Nothobranchius furzeri: one gene and its partner. Each later gene encodes a partner of the first gene's protein in a complex. Links are inferred from orthologs where the notes say so. Each region holds a gene or a part of one and is shown on either strand. Other genes may lie near its edges.

Region 1 (5,471 bases):
TTTTTAAGGTTGACTTGTACAGTGCTCAAGTCAAGTGTGGACTGGAGTTTTAGATTTTCATTTTGATAATGAAGAAAACAAGTATATGAGAAAACAAGTGGTGTTTCTTTGATTTGTTTACATATTGTTTATGTTTTGAATGTTTGGATTTGTATAATTTAAACCTGCACTGACTACTGTAACATGTTCCAGAAAAATAAGCTATTTGTTCCTTTACTTGTGAAAAGTTGCACTTTTGCTAAGGCTTTGTGTTATTTTAGGTTTAATAAACACTGTTAAACCTTTTCAGAACTATTTCAGTTTGTGTAGAACAGGACTATCAATGCTTTCTGAACATATGCAACACCGTTTAAAAAAATACCGCGATAATACCGAAAACCGTGATAATTTTGGTCACAATAACCGTGAGGTTAAATTTTCATACCGTGACAACCCTATTTGGGGTCGTTCGGGTCCTTTCTTCAGTCTAGTAGCGGTGGCAGTTGGCCACACAGGTGCCTGATTTTTTTTTTCTTTTTTAAATCACCTTTTAAAAATAATTTCAGCCGATGGCCGATATAGAAAAAAATGTTATATATCGGCCCGATATCTCTAGACCTGAACTAACACATATAAAAACAAACAGCCCGTTCATCAGCTAGACCAGCGGTATCCAATAATAATGACAAAACTAAATGAGAAGTATTAAAACCCTCAGTTTCTATAATATGATAAAAGTAAAAGAAGCTCGACTACAAGGGAACCTCACTGGGAGCACACCTGTTGTGCCATCTGATCTCTTTCCTGAGTGTGTTTTCCTCCATGTAGCACGCTGTCGCTGACCTTTTCCTTTTTGTTGTCTCACGGCGAGCCGACACACATTAGGCCTGTTCTGTCTGCTTGATTCTATGCTACAGAGCAGGGTCAAAGGCAGCGTCCCTTCTCCCGCCGGCCACTTTCCTCTGTCTCATCCTCAGGGGAGAACCCATGAGCAAGCAACTAGAGCAATGAACTTTTCTAGGACAGTCTGCTTTGGAGGAGTGTGTAGAGTGTGTAGTGCTGCAGCAGTCACCAGAGAGCAGCATCCTAAAAGGATGCAACTCAAAGCTAGAATACATTGTGTTTATAATTTTTTGTTGAATGATGGGAAAAAAATGTATGTGTGGGCAAAAAAAGCATGGTGTATTATAATCCACTTCACAGATGTCATACATGTGTCAGAGCTGAACTATTAATTAAACACGTGCAACCAAGGGGTCTAAAACCCACACTCAACAGGAAGTGATGTCATCTGAGTCACCAGTGATCTATTGTACGTCGCTCTTATCAGTAATAAAACTAAAGGACAGGTAACGATCTGTTTTCCCACTGAAGTAAAATAAATGTTCTGTTTTCTTCCTTTTTGAAAGACAAAGAAACATGTTGTCCACCCCAACATGTCCTCAGTACTGCTGTCCCGTGTTTGACCTGAGACATCATACATGGTTCAGAGAGAGGGGGAAACTTTCATTACTGGCCTGTCCACTGAGACACAAAACCACAGGTGGCCCGGTGGACTAACCACACACTCGCAGAGACCGCACATGTGTTGTGGCCTCACGGAGACGTGCTGTGCTACAAAGACATCCCAAAGCTGCACCAACGATAGCGCTAAAGGCCTCGATGATGGTCTTGCAGTCCAGGGAAGACTCAGCGTAAGGTTTCATGAAAACCTTGTGAAAGTCATCACATAAAACGTCACGTGTAACAACATGTGACCATATTATGCATGCATGTACAGTGTGCTGTTAAGTGTGCAGGCCAGAGCCAACGGGCACGCTCACTGGCATGCTGAGCTCTTCAAGCGTGCATGCAACAAAAGCCAGAGGCCTGTGGGTGTTAAAATGTAAGGCAGGTGAATCTTTCAGCCCAACACTCCAGCGATCTTCCCCTTCCTTCAGACAGGATGCAGCACTAATCGTACCAGAAACCAGATCGGCCATCAGCAACCACGGCCTGTTTCTGATTTCCCTTCTGTCTGCTCCACGTGCCGAATGAAAGCTCAGCCAGTTTGTTATTGTTCATCCATTTTTTATCCTTCTATTTATAACTACAGAGGTTTGAATCAGGGGCACACAGAGAACAGGAGAGCAAGTGATGTGCTTTTAAAAAAATATATATATGTTTTTACATTTGTTAAGCTTTGTGAGCTCAACAAGATAACTCAGCCTACTGTAATTACAGGGAAACTGTGGTAACAGAAGTAAACCCGCATATGGGTCCAAGAAGGAAAAACAAACCCTTCTAAATGTGAAGCAAAAGCGCATTTTAACACATAACTTTCTAGCATTTCTTAATACTGGAAAAAAGCTGAGAAGCAAACAAACTTTTTCCCACAATGCTCTGCCTTAAGGTTACATTACATCCATGCAGGGAACTATCTTCTGCTGCTGGCATCTAAAAAACAACTGGGACCACCGAGGGACTCAAGCTTTGCTCAGGGGCCTTTTTTAGACCACTGACTCACATATCACAAAGGTTTTTCCAGCCACTTTTACAAACACAAATCGATGACCTTTCAAGATGCGGGCCCACTTATTACCACAAGACAGACACACCGCTTATGGCCTGGTCAGTGGAAAGTCATTCATTTAAAGATTTCCCCTGCGACTCATTTGATTGTTTGATAAAAATGTTGATTTCATACCACACATAGCTGCAGATTATTGTTGCTTATGATCAATGATTCTCCTCTGATCGGTCTGTAAAGTTCACAAACCAATCCACATTTAGACAAGACTTTTCCTTTGAGAAAAAACCATCTAAATATCACAGCTGTGTGTCACTGTGACATCATCAGCAACCACAACTGAACAACCACATGATTTGATTTATTTTTGTGGGGTTTAATCAAATCTGGTTATTGTCTGCTTACAGACTAGTTCTGCACGTGGATTGCTAAACAAAATTATTTTTGGAAAGGTTGTGGCACAGAAGTGTATTTGATGTGTATGCACATGAGGGAAAGACAACCACACCAGAAGTATTTACCTTTCTTTGCAGTCGCTTGCTTTTGCAGGTCAGAATTTATTGAAGGGACTCAGAAAACTACGTTTTATGTGTTTCACTTACAGAGGATTCTTGTAGCAGTTTTCCATGAGGGAAGCATCAATTTAAGGTCATGTAGCGCCTCCACTTCCGTTTATTGAATAGTAATTATCCATCCTTCTCGATGCAATACGAAAATGTGTGATGTTAGCTCATTAGCATGTTCTTCCTCCGCCTGGCACTGATTCTTAGGAATATTAACAACAACAAACCAGGCTAAAGCTGCCCCTAAAACAGCCTTGCTCCTCATAAGTCCGTGTTAACAACAAAACGCACGCTTTTAGGTGGATACAATTACCCTGAGTTCGTCCCTCTCAGCCTCCCAGCGGTATTTCTCGGCCTGGAAACGTCCCCATTCGTACTGGATGAAGTGCAGGATCCCGGGAAGCGTCATACCCGAGGAGTCCCCGTCCTGTGCCTCCCGAGGTTGCACAGACCCGGGAGCCGCCACGGCTGCTGCCGCTGCCGCAGCTACTGCTGCCATCGGACCAGCCGCGGCGGATGATGTCGTCTGGCCCGGTGCTGCTTTCGGCCCGTTTGGGTTGCGCCCCGCTCCGCTGCTGCTGCCGCCACCGCCTCCGGAGTTCGGGTTTGGTCCGCCGCCGGATCTGTCCGCCTCCATTTTAAACGTTCAACCTCTCGCCAGTACAAGGAGGTGGAAACGGGCAAGACCGATCAACAAAAATAATAATAAAAAAGAACCCCCTTCCCCTTTCTAGCCCACGGTTCTTCCCCAAAAGCGACCCTCTATTCTTCCTTTTCTCACACAGTAGAGTAAAATTACTATTCACTTGGTAAAATACTACACTTCCGCTATCAAACCTTCACAATAAAGCATAAATCTTGACACACTTTTCGAATATCTTGAATATTTTGTGGCCAGAGGAAAACATTACACAAATACTTTTGATTCGACAAAAACGAACAAATTGCACTAAAGTATAGCTATCTGGTATCATTGAATCAAAAACAATCACTAACGTTGTAATTGCGACTCTTATTTTTACTACTCTTACTTCCTCCTCCTTGTGTTCGCTTTACTGTCCAATGTAGTTGACAAATAAAGGGACGTGTATTCTCTAGTACACAATGAGCACGTCTTCTTGGAAGTTGATTTCCTGCCATTTTGTGAACAGGGGCGTTTGCAGATAGTAAAGTTTTATGTGTGTTTCACTACTGCTTCCGGTTCTTTATTTTGATAATTTCATTACATATTTTCCGAGGTAAAATTAAAAAGAAAACATTCACTGGGGAAAAAATATAAATTAAGATATTTTTCTTACTGTGACAAATTCAACAAATCTGGAGTCCTGTCATTTCACATGTGGAAGGTATTCAACCAATGTAATTGTATTTGTTTTTGTTTGTGTGTGTGTGTGGGGGGGGGGGGGATTTGTATTATTTAGTGAAATACTGCATTTTTAAGAGATGTTATCAGAAATTGGAGTTTTGAAGCCCACATGAGTCCTTTTGTTTCAGAATTAAAAATATTTGTTTTTATTTTGAAGGAAGATGACCGGAAAAGATTGTTGTTGCTCCGGGCAACAAACCAAAGTATGCTAGCAAATCGCTAAAATCATTCATCAGGCTTTCTCGTATAAACTAGCGTCTTATTGATTTGATATCCGCATTTAGTTGCCGCTTTATATTGGTGTTTTGGGAATTGTCAAAATATACATCACATTTGTACATATTTTAGCGGTTTAATATCCGTATTTGCTGCAGAGCTGGTGCACAACGGCATTTGTTACTACAGAGCTACACCTCTGAAAACTACTGCTTGACGATGGCTCCATGTCTTCAAAAGTCCATCTTCTATCGAATATGATCACATATTTTCAAACAAAAGTAAGTTATGGTAGAATTTACTATCTCGTTTTATTGACTGGTACTACAGTCGTTGGTTGATTTTACTGTACATCTTACTCTTTCAGGAGCATGCTTATGACTTTTCAGAATTTAGAGATTTGTCACTATAACATATTTAATTTGTGCCATAATAAATTAACATGATTTTAATGCATTATAACTGTTGCACATAAATATGAGTGTTTCTCTTTGTTTTGTTAGTTTGTCTCTAAATCCCATTCATCCACCTTCAAACCCATGGGGACCAGAGACCTGCCGCTGGATGCCTTTACTGATACGCAGTTTTTATTTCAAGCATCTCTGGACTAAATTCAGTTGCCATGCGCATCACCTTCTGCCAGACTCTGTTAACTGGTGCCATCATCGTCAACCTTCTAATTCTCTATTATGTATCCCGGGCCCAACAACAAATGATGGAGAAGAGGAAGGAGCTTGGCCATGGCACCAGGAGGGCCGCTCGGCCAGTCTCTGGACTTGGAGGAGGACTGGGATTTGTTGGAGGAGCCGGAGGTGAACATGAGGGACACAGTCGAAGC
Region 2 (5,033 bases), on another chromosome or scaffold:
AACAACAAAAATGACACCCAAATCTCTGACCTGATGTTTAAAACTTGGGGCTAAAGATCCAAAATCCGAGTGTGACATTTTGTATGTTTGGTGGGGAGAAAAACAAAACCTCTTTTTTGTCACTGAGGTGTAAGAGGATTCATGACAAGCACAACTCTAAGTCTTGCATGCTGTTAAGCTTGGTTTATGCTTGACGCATTCACTTTCCGCGCGGTGATGCGGCTCGCGGATGGAACGTGCTTCACAACTTGCAGCGTTTATGGTTCGTGCGGCTCGTCTCTGCGGTGAGCCAATATTCTCCCAAACTGTAGGGGGCAGCATGGAGCTCTACGGCATGCATCCAACACTACACCATAGTAGAAGTAGAAATTACTGTTTACAACATGGCATTCCAGCATTTTTTAACAGCGTCCTCGTCTTTTCCGACAGTGCGAGCTATTTCTCTCCAAGAATTATTAACAACATGTTGATCACGGTGATCTTTGAGAGCTGAATCATACAAATGTCTGTGTTTACGAACCTCTGCCGTAGTAGTTCTTGCCGGTCCGCCATGTTTTTCCGCGTCCGTCTGTCCGCGTGGTTAGAAATTTTCCGACGTGCGCATTGCGGAAATTCTGGGCCGTGCGGAGGCGCGGTGGAGGGGCGTGGTTGTTAAGATGACGCAAAATGACGCAACTTTTCCGCGCGGAGCGGTGCGGACCTCGCGGACGCGTCAAGCATAAACCAACCTAACGGGGCAAGACATTGTAGCACCATTGCTGGACTTTACTGGCTGATAAAATGCAACATAAAAGCTCAGGTTTGTCATCAGAGAACATCGTGTCTCAGATATTTTAGATGATACAAGATTAAGTGTGAGGACATTTAATTTTTTTTTACTAAACTGCAGCTACTTAGCATAAAACTCAACCTGAAGGTTGTTTTAGTGTTAAAAACTGTCTGCAGACAGACTGAATAGATAAATCCAGCTCGCTCACCAAATCCAGCGCTGAACCACCACCCAGATACTCCATGATGATCCATAGTTTACTGCCCTGAACAAGAAAACCATTTGTGTTAATAAGTTACAGCAAATGCAGCAAAAGGAAAACGATAAGCAGATGCTGGAAACCAGCAGCAGACACTAACTACGGCTGCTCTCTGTTAACTGTTTCACACACACCTTCGTCACCGACGAGACTCGGATCAGCCTGAACTATGTCTTTTCTCACCTTCAGGTAGGAGCCAAAGTATTTGGTGATGTATGGGCTGTCACACTGACTGAGCACGGTGATCTCCTGCTGGATGTCCTCGATCTCATCTTCCGCCTCCTCCAGGTCGATCGTCTTGATGGCGACAACACTCTGAGAGCGATTATCGATGCCTTTGAACACCTGTTGGAGGTAGATAAAAAGTTAGGATCAGGAAGGAATGGAATGTCTGAGACAAAACAAAGATGAAAATGGACCCACTTCTCCAAAAGACCCTTTTCCAATTCGATCCAGTTTGGTGAACAGCTCCTCTGGATCCACGTGAGAACTCTGAGGAGAGGAAACGGAAACATGTTGTCTTAAAAGTGTTTCCTTTGATGGAAAATTATTGTGATATAACACTAAATTAGTTTTTAGAGAAATGCCTTCAGGACAGTTATTAGCATCATAAGTAGGGCTGCTCGATTATGGCAAAAATAATAATCACGATTATGGTGACTGAAATTGAGATCTCGATTATTTAGGACGATTTTTCAATTTATGTTGATTTTATTTGTTTTTATTCCGTCATAAAATTGCTCAGGGCACAATCAGGACAAAAATAAATAAGAAACAAGATGATCACTAAAAGACATCACAATATACCTATAGACACATTACTAGTGTGTGTGTGTGTGTGTGTGTGCGTGCGTGCGTGCGTGCGTGCGTGCGGGCCTGCTTCGTCTTCTCAATCCCCAGTGAGTCGTGGAGGATGGCTGCTTATACTGAGCCAGGATTCTCTGGAGGTTTCTTCCTGTTAAAAGGGAGTTTTCCTCTCCACTGTCGCTTTATGCTTGCTTAGTATGAGGATTGCTGTATAGTCACTGACACTAGTCAGTGACTTGATGCAATTTGCTGGGTTCCTTATATAGGAAACATTATTTCTGATTGGTTTAATGAACTGTGAATTGGAATGTTTATTATGTGAAGTGCCTTGAGACGACTCTTGTCGTGATTTGGCGCTATATAAATAAACTTGAATTGAATTGAATTAAAATAACCCGATTCCCAGTATAAAAAAGACCAATACACTTATAGCTCATAGTTTATGACCCAAGGGCTATAGACCTTGGTTTCAGGGGTGTGTCCAGGGAGTGGTCTGGGGTAGCACATGCCACCCTTGGAATCTGATTGGCCACCCCAGGTACCACCACACTAATTTAACTTTAAATAGGCTTTTCATTGTCCACAAAAGGCTTGGGGGTAAAACAAAAAGAAAAGCATAACCATTGGTGCCACCCATGCACAAAGTTGTGCCTCACCTGGGCCACCCCATTCTAAAAGATCTGGACACGCCACTGCTTGGTTTAACTCATTTAAGTCTAACCAGTACAGACCCAAATACCAATATCTTGCAAATACTGACAGCAAGAATTATGCAGTGGCATTTATAACAAATACATGCAAATAAAGTGATGTTCACAAAATGTTGCATAACATTTAATGAGTCGTGTCAAGGTGCTGTAGGAGAGTGCACTAGCACCGTGTCCTCAGAGAGGTTAGTTATTATTTATCAGCGTGAGGAACTTATTTATACCTTATTCATGAACTATTTATTTACAGATCCGTCAGTTAATGTAATAATTGTCCCAACCACAGCTGTGGGAGGAGCGCTTCATTTGCAACTCGGGCAGCGCAAGTGGGAGGAGCAAATAATCGGCTTGTTTTGTTTTTATAATCGTTCAAAACTCAGATGGTAATTGGGATTAAAATTCGATTAATTGAGCAGCCCAAAAATAATTATTATGTATTTTATATGTCGTTATTCTGTCTAAGTCACAAATGTTATATTTATTTATTTATTTTAAATTTGCTCTTCCTCCTCCCTCTCTGCTGTGCTTCAGCTCTGCATGTTGATCAGCGATCCTAGAGGGGCTTCCTTCTCTTTAGGGCACCAAATTTAAGTTAGGGATGTCCCGTTCCGATATCGATGTCGAAAGTAATTTGATATTGGCCCAAAAACAGTGTATCGGATTATATCGGACTGCATCAAAAATCTCTGATATAAGCAGTCCATTAAGGTTCACATTTTTTCAACCAATGGTTGCTGGTTCCCAAAGTCAGAGACTCTCTTGCTCAGCTTGCTTCTCACACCAAACCCTCTGTCAGGAATCTTGGTGTGACCTTTGACCCAGCTCTCATCCTGGATTCTCATGTCAGTTCTCTTGTTCGCTCTTCCTTCTTCCATCTCAGGAACGTTGCTAAGCTGAGTCCCATTCTGTCCCGCTCTGAACTTGAGACAGTTCTCCACACCTTCATCTCCTCACGCTTAGACTACTGTAACTCTCTTTTCACGTGTCTGAGCAGAACCTCCCTGAACCGTCTGCAGGTGGTTCAGAATGCCTGTGCTCGGCTTCTGACCAAGTCCTCCAAACACACCCACATCACCCCACTTCTCCTCCAGCTTCACTGGCTGCCGGTCAACTTCAGGGTTCATTTCAAGATCCTGGTTCTGGTCTATAGGGCCTTACATGGACAAGCACCATCTTACATTGGCGATCTTCTTAGTCCCTACACCCCCAGCAGGTCCCTGAGGTCCAGTGATCAAAGCCTACTGGTTAGGCAGCACCAGGCTAAAGACCAAAGGTGACAGATCATTTGTTGCTGTAGCCCCCAGACTCTGGAACTCTCTCTTCCTGAGCCTGAGATCAGTGGACTCAGTGGTCTCCTTTAAAAAGCAGCTGAAGACTCACTTGTTCCGGATGGCTTTTGTGACCTTCATCACCACTCTCTATTCTGCTCTTATTCCGCCTTTTCTGGGATCCACCTATTTCCCTCTTTCCTATGAATTTTCTCTCTCCTTTTCCTTACATATTTTTTAATCACAATTGAAAAATTTTCTCATTGTTAACATATTTTTAATAATATTTAGAAATATTTTGTGTACATTTGTATACATTTGGGAAGTGCCTAATGACCATCATCTTGAGATGCTCTGTATAAAAGATTGTTTTCTTTTGCCACAGCTGTCGGCATGACAGACACATCAATGAACCAATCAGAACAAGTTGTAGGCAGTGTGCTGTTTTGTTTAGCTGGGGGTGCTCAGTGAAGCTGAGGAAAATAATGAAATAATCGATGCATGAAGATGCGGACATAAACGATTATGAATCTTTGCCAAAGCAACCATACTCACTTATAGCGGATAGCTGCTAGCACTAGCTACTAGCTTGCGTAGTCTTTAAGCAGTCATTACATGTATTCTCACATGACTGCTCAATCAGGAAACCTCGCAGTAAATGTTCTACTCTAAACTTTGCATTTGGCTTCGTGGATTTTATTATTTGGGGACGTTCGTTCGTGTTTTAGTTTTGTTTATCCTGCTTGTGTAGAAAGACTGGCCAAACCCCACCCCCACACAGTCAGGGAATGTCTATGGATATAATTACTGATAATATTGTGGATGACAGGATATGAGCCACCTCGAGATAGAATAAACATTTTACACTAATTATAAATACATAATACAAAAACGTAACTTCACTGAGCCAGACAGAGTTTGGAAATTTGAGATATTTTTTAGGATTCTGGCATAGTTCATCATATATTGTGTGAAGTGGTGTGCTTTTAAATTGATGTATTTTACTGGTAAAAAAAAAATTCCAAAATGTCTGAAATGTTGAAATGGAAAGAAAATCGCGATTTAGCAACAAATAAATTGTGATTTTTTTCCCCCCATATTGCTCGCCCCTAGTGCAAAGTAAAAAGAGTCCTTGGTAGAGTCGCGTTGCTGTTCGCCAGAGACGAGTTACCTGTATATCAGGAATAAGGAGTAAGAATCCAGATCCTGCCATTTTCTGCTCC

Evidence for each region.
Region 2: strn4 (region 1) and stk26 share a complex: the UniProt entries of both Homo sapiens proteins name them as parts of the core of STRIPAK complex. The link is inferred for Nothobranchius furzeri from reciprocal best matches to the Homo sapiens genes STRN4 and STK26.

Annotation. Positions count from the first base shown.
Region 1 is NC_091753.1:40,964,417-40,969,887, forward strand, and holds the start of strn4 (striatin-4), read right to left. Parts: upstream 3,825-5,471; 5' UTR 3,689-3,824; coding exon 3,365-3,688; intron 1-3,364. Other genes in the region: ribitol 5-phosphate transferase FKRP, read left to right, coding at 5,256-5,471. UniProt on the Homo sapiens protein: Calmodulin-binding scaffolding protein which is the center of the striatin-interacting phosphatase and kinase (STRIPAK) complexes.
Region 2 is NC_091742.1:86,837,381-86,842,413, reverse strand, and holds part of stk26 (serine/threonine-protein kinase 26), read right to left. Parts: intron 1,521-5,033; coding exon 1,452-1,520; intron 1,374-1,451; coding exon 1,212-1,373; intron 1,035-1,211; coding exon 978-1,034; intron 1-977. UniProt on the Homo sapiens protein: Serine/threonine-protein kinase that acts as a mediator of cell growth. Modulates apoptosis. In association with STK24 negatively regulates Golgi reorientation in polarized cell migration upon RHO activation.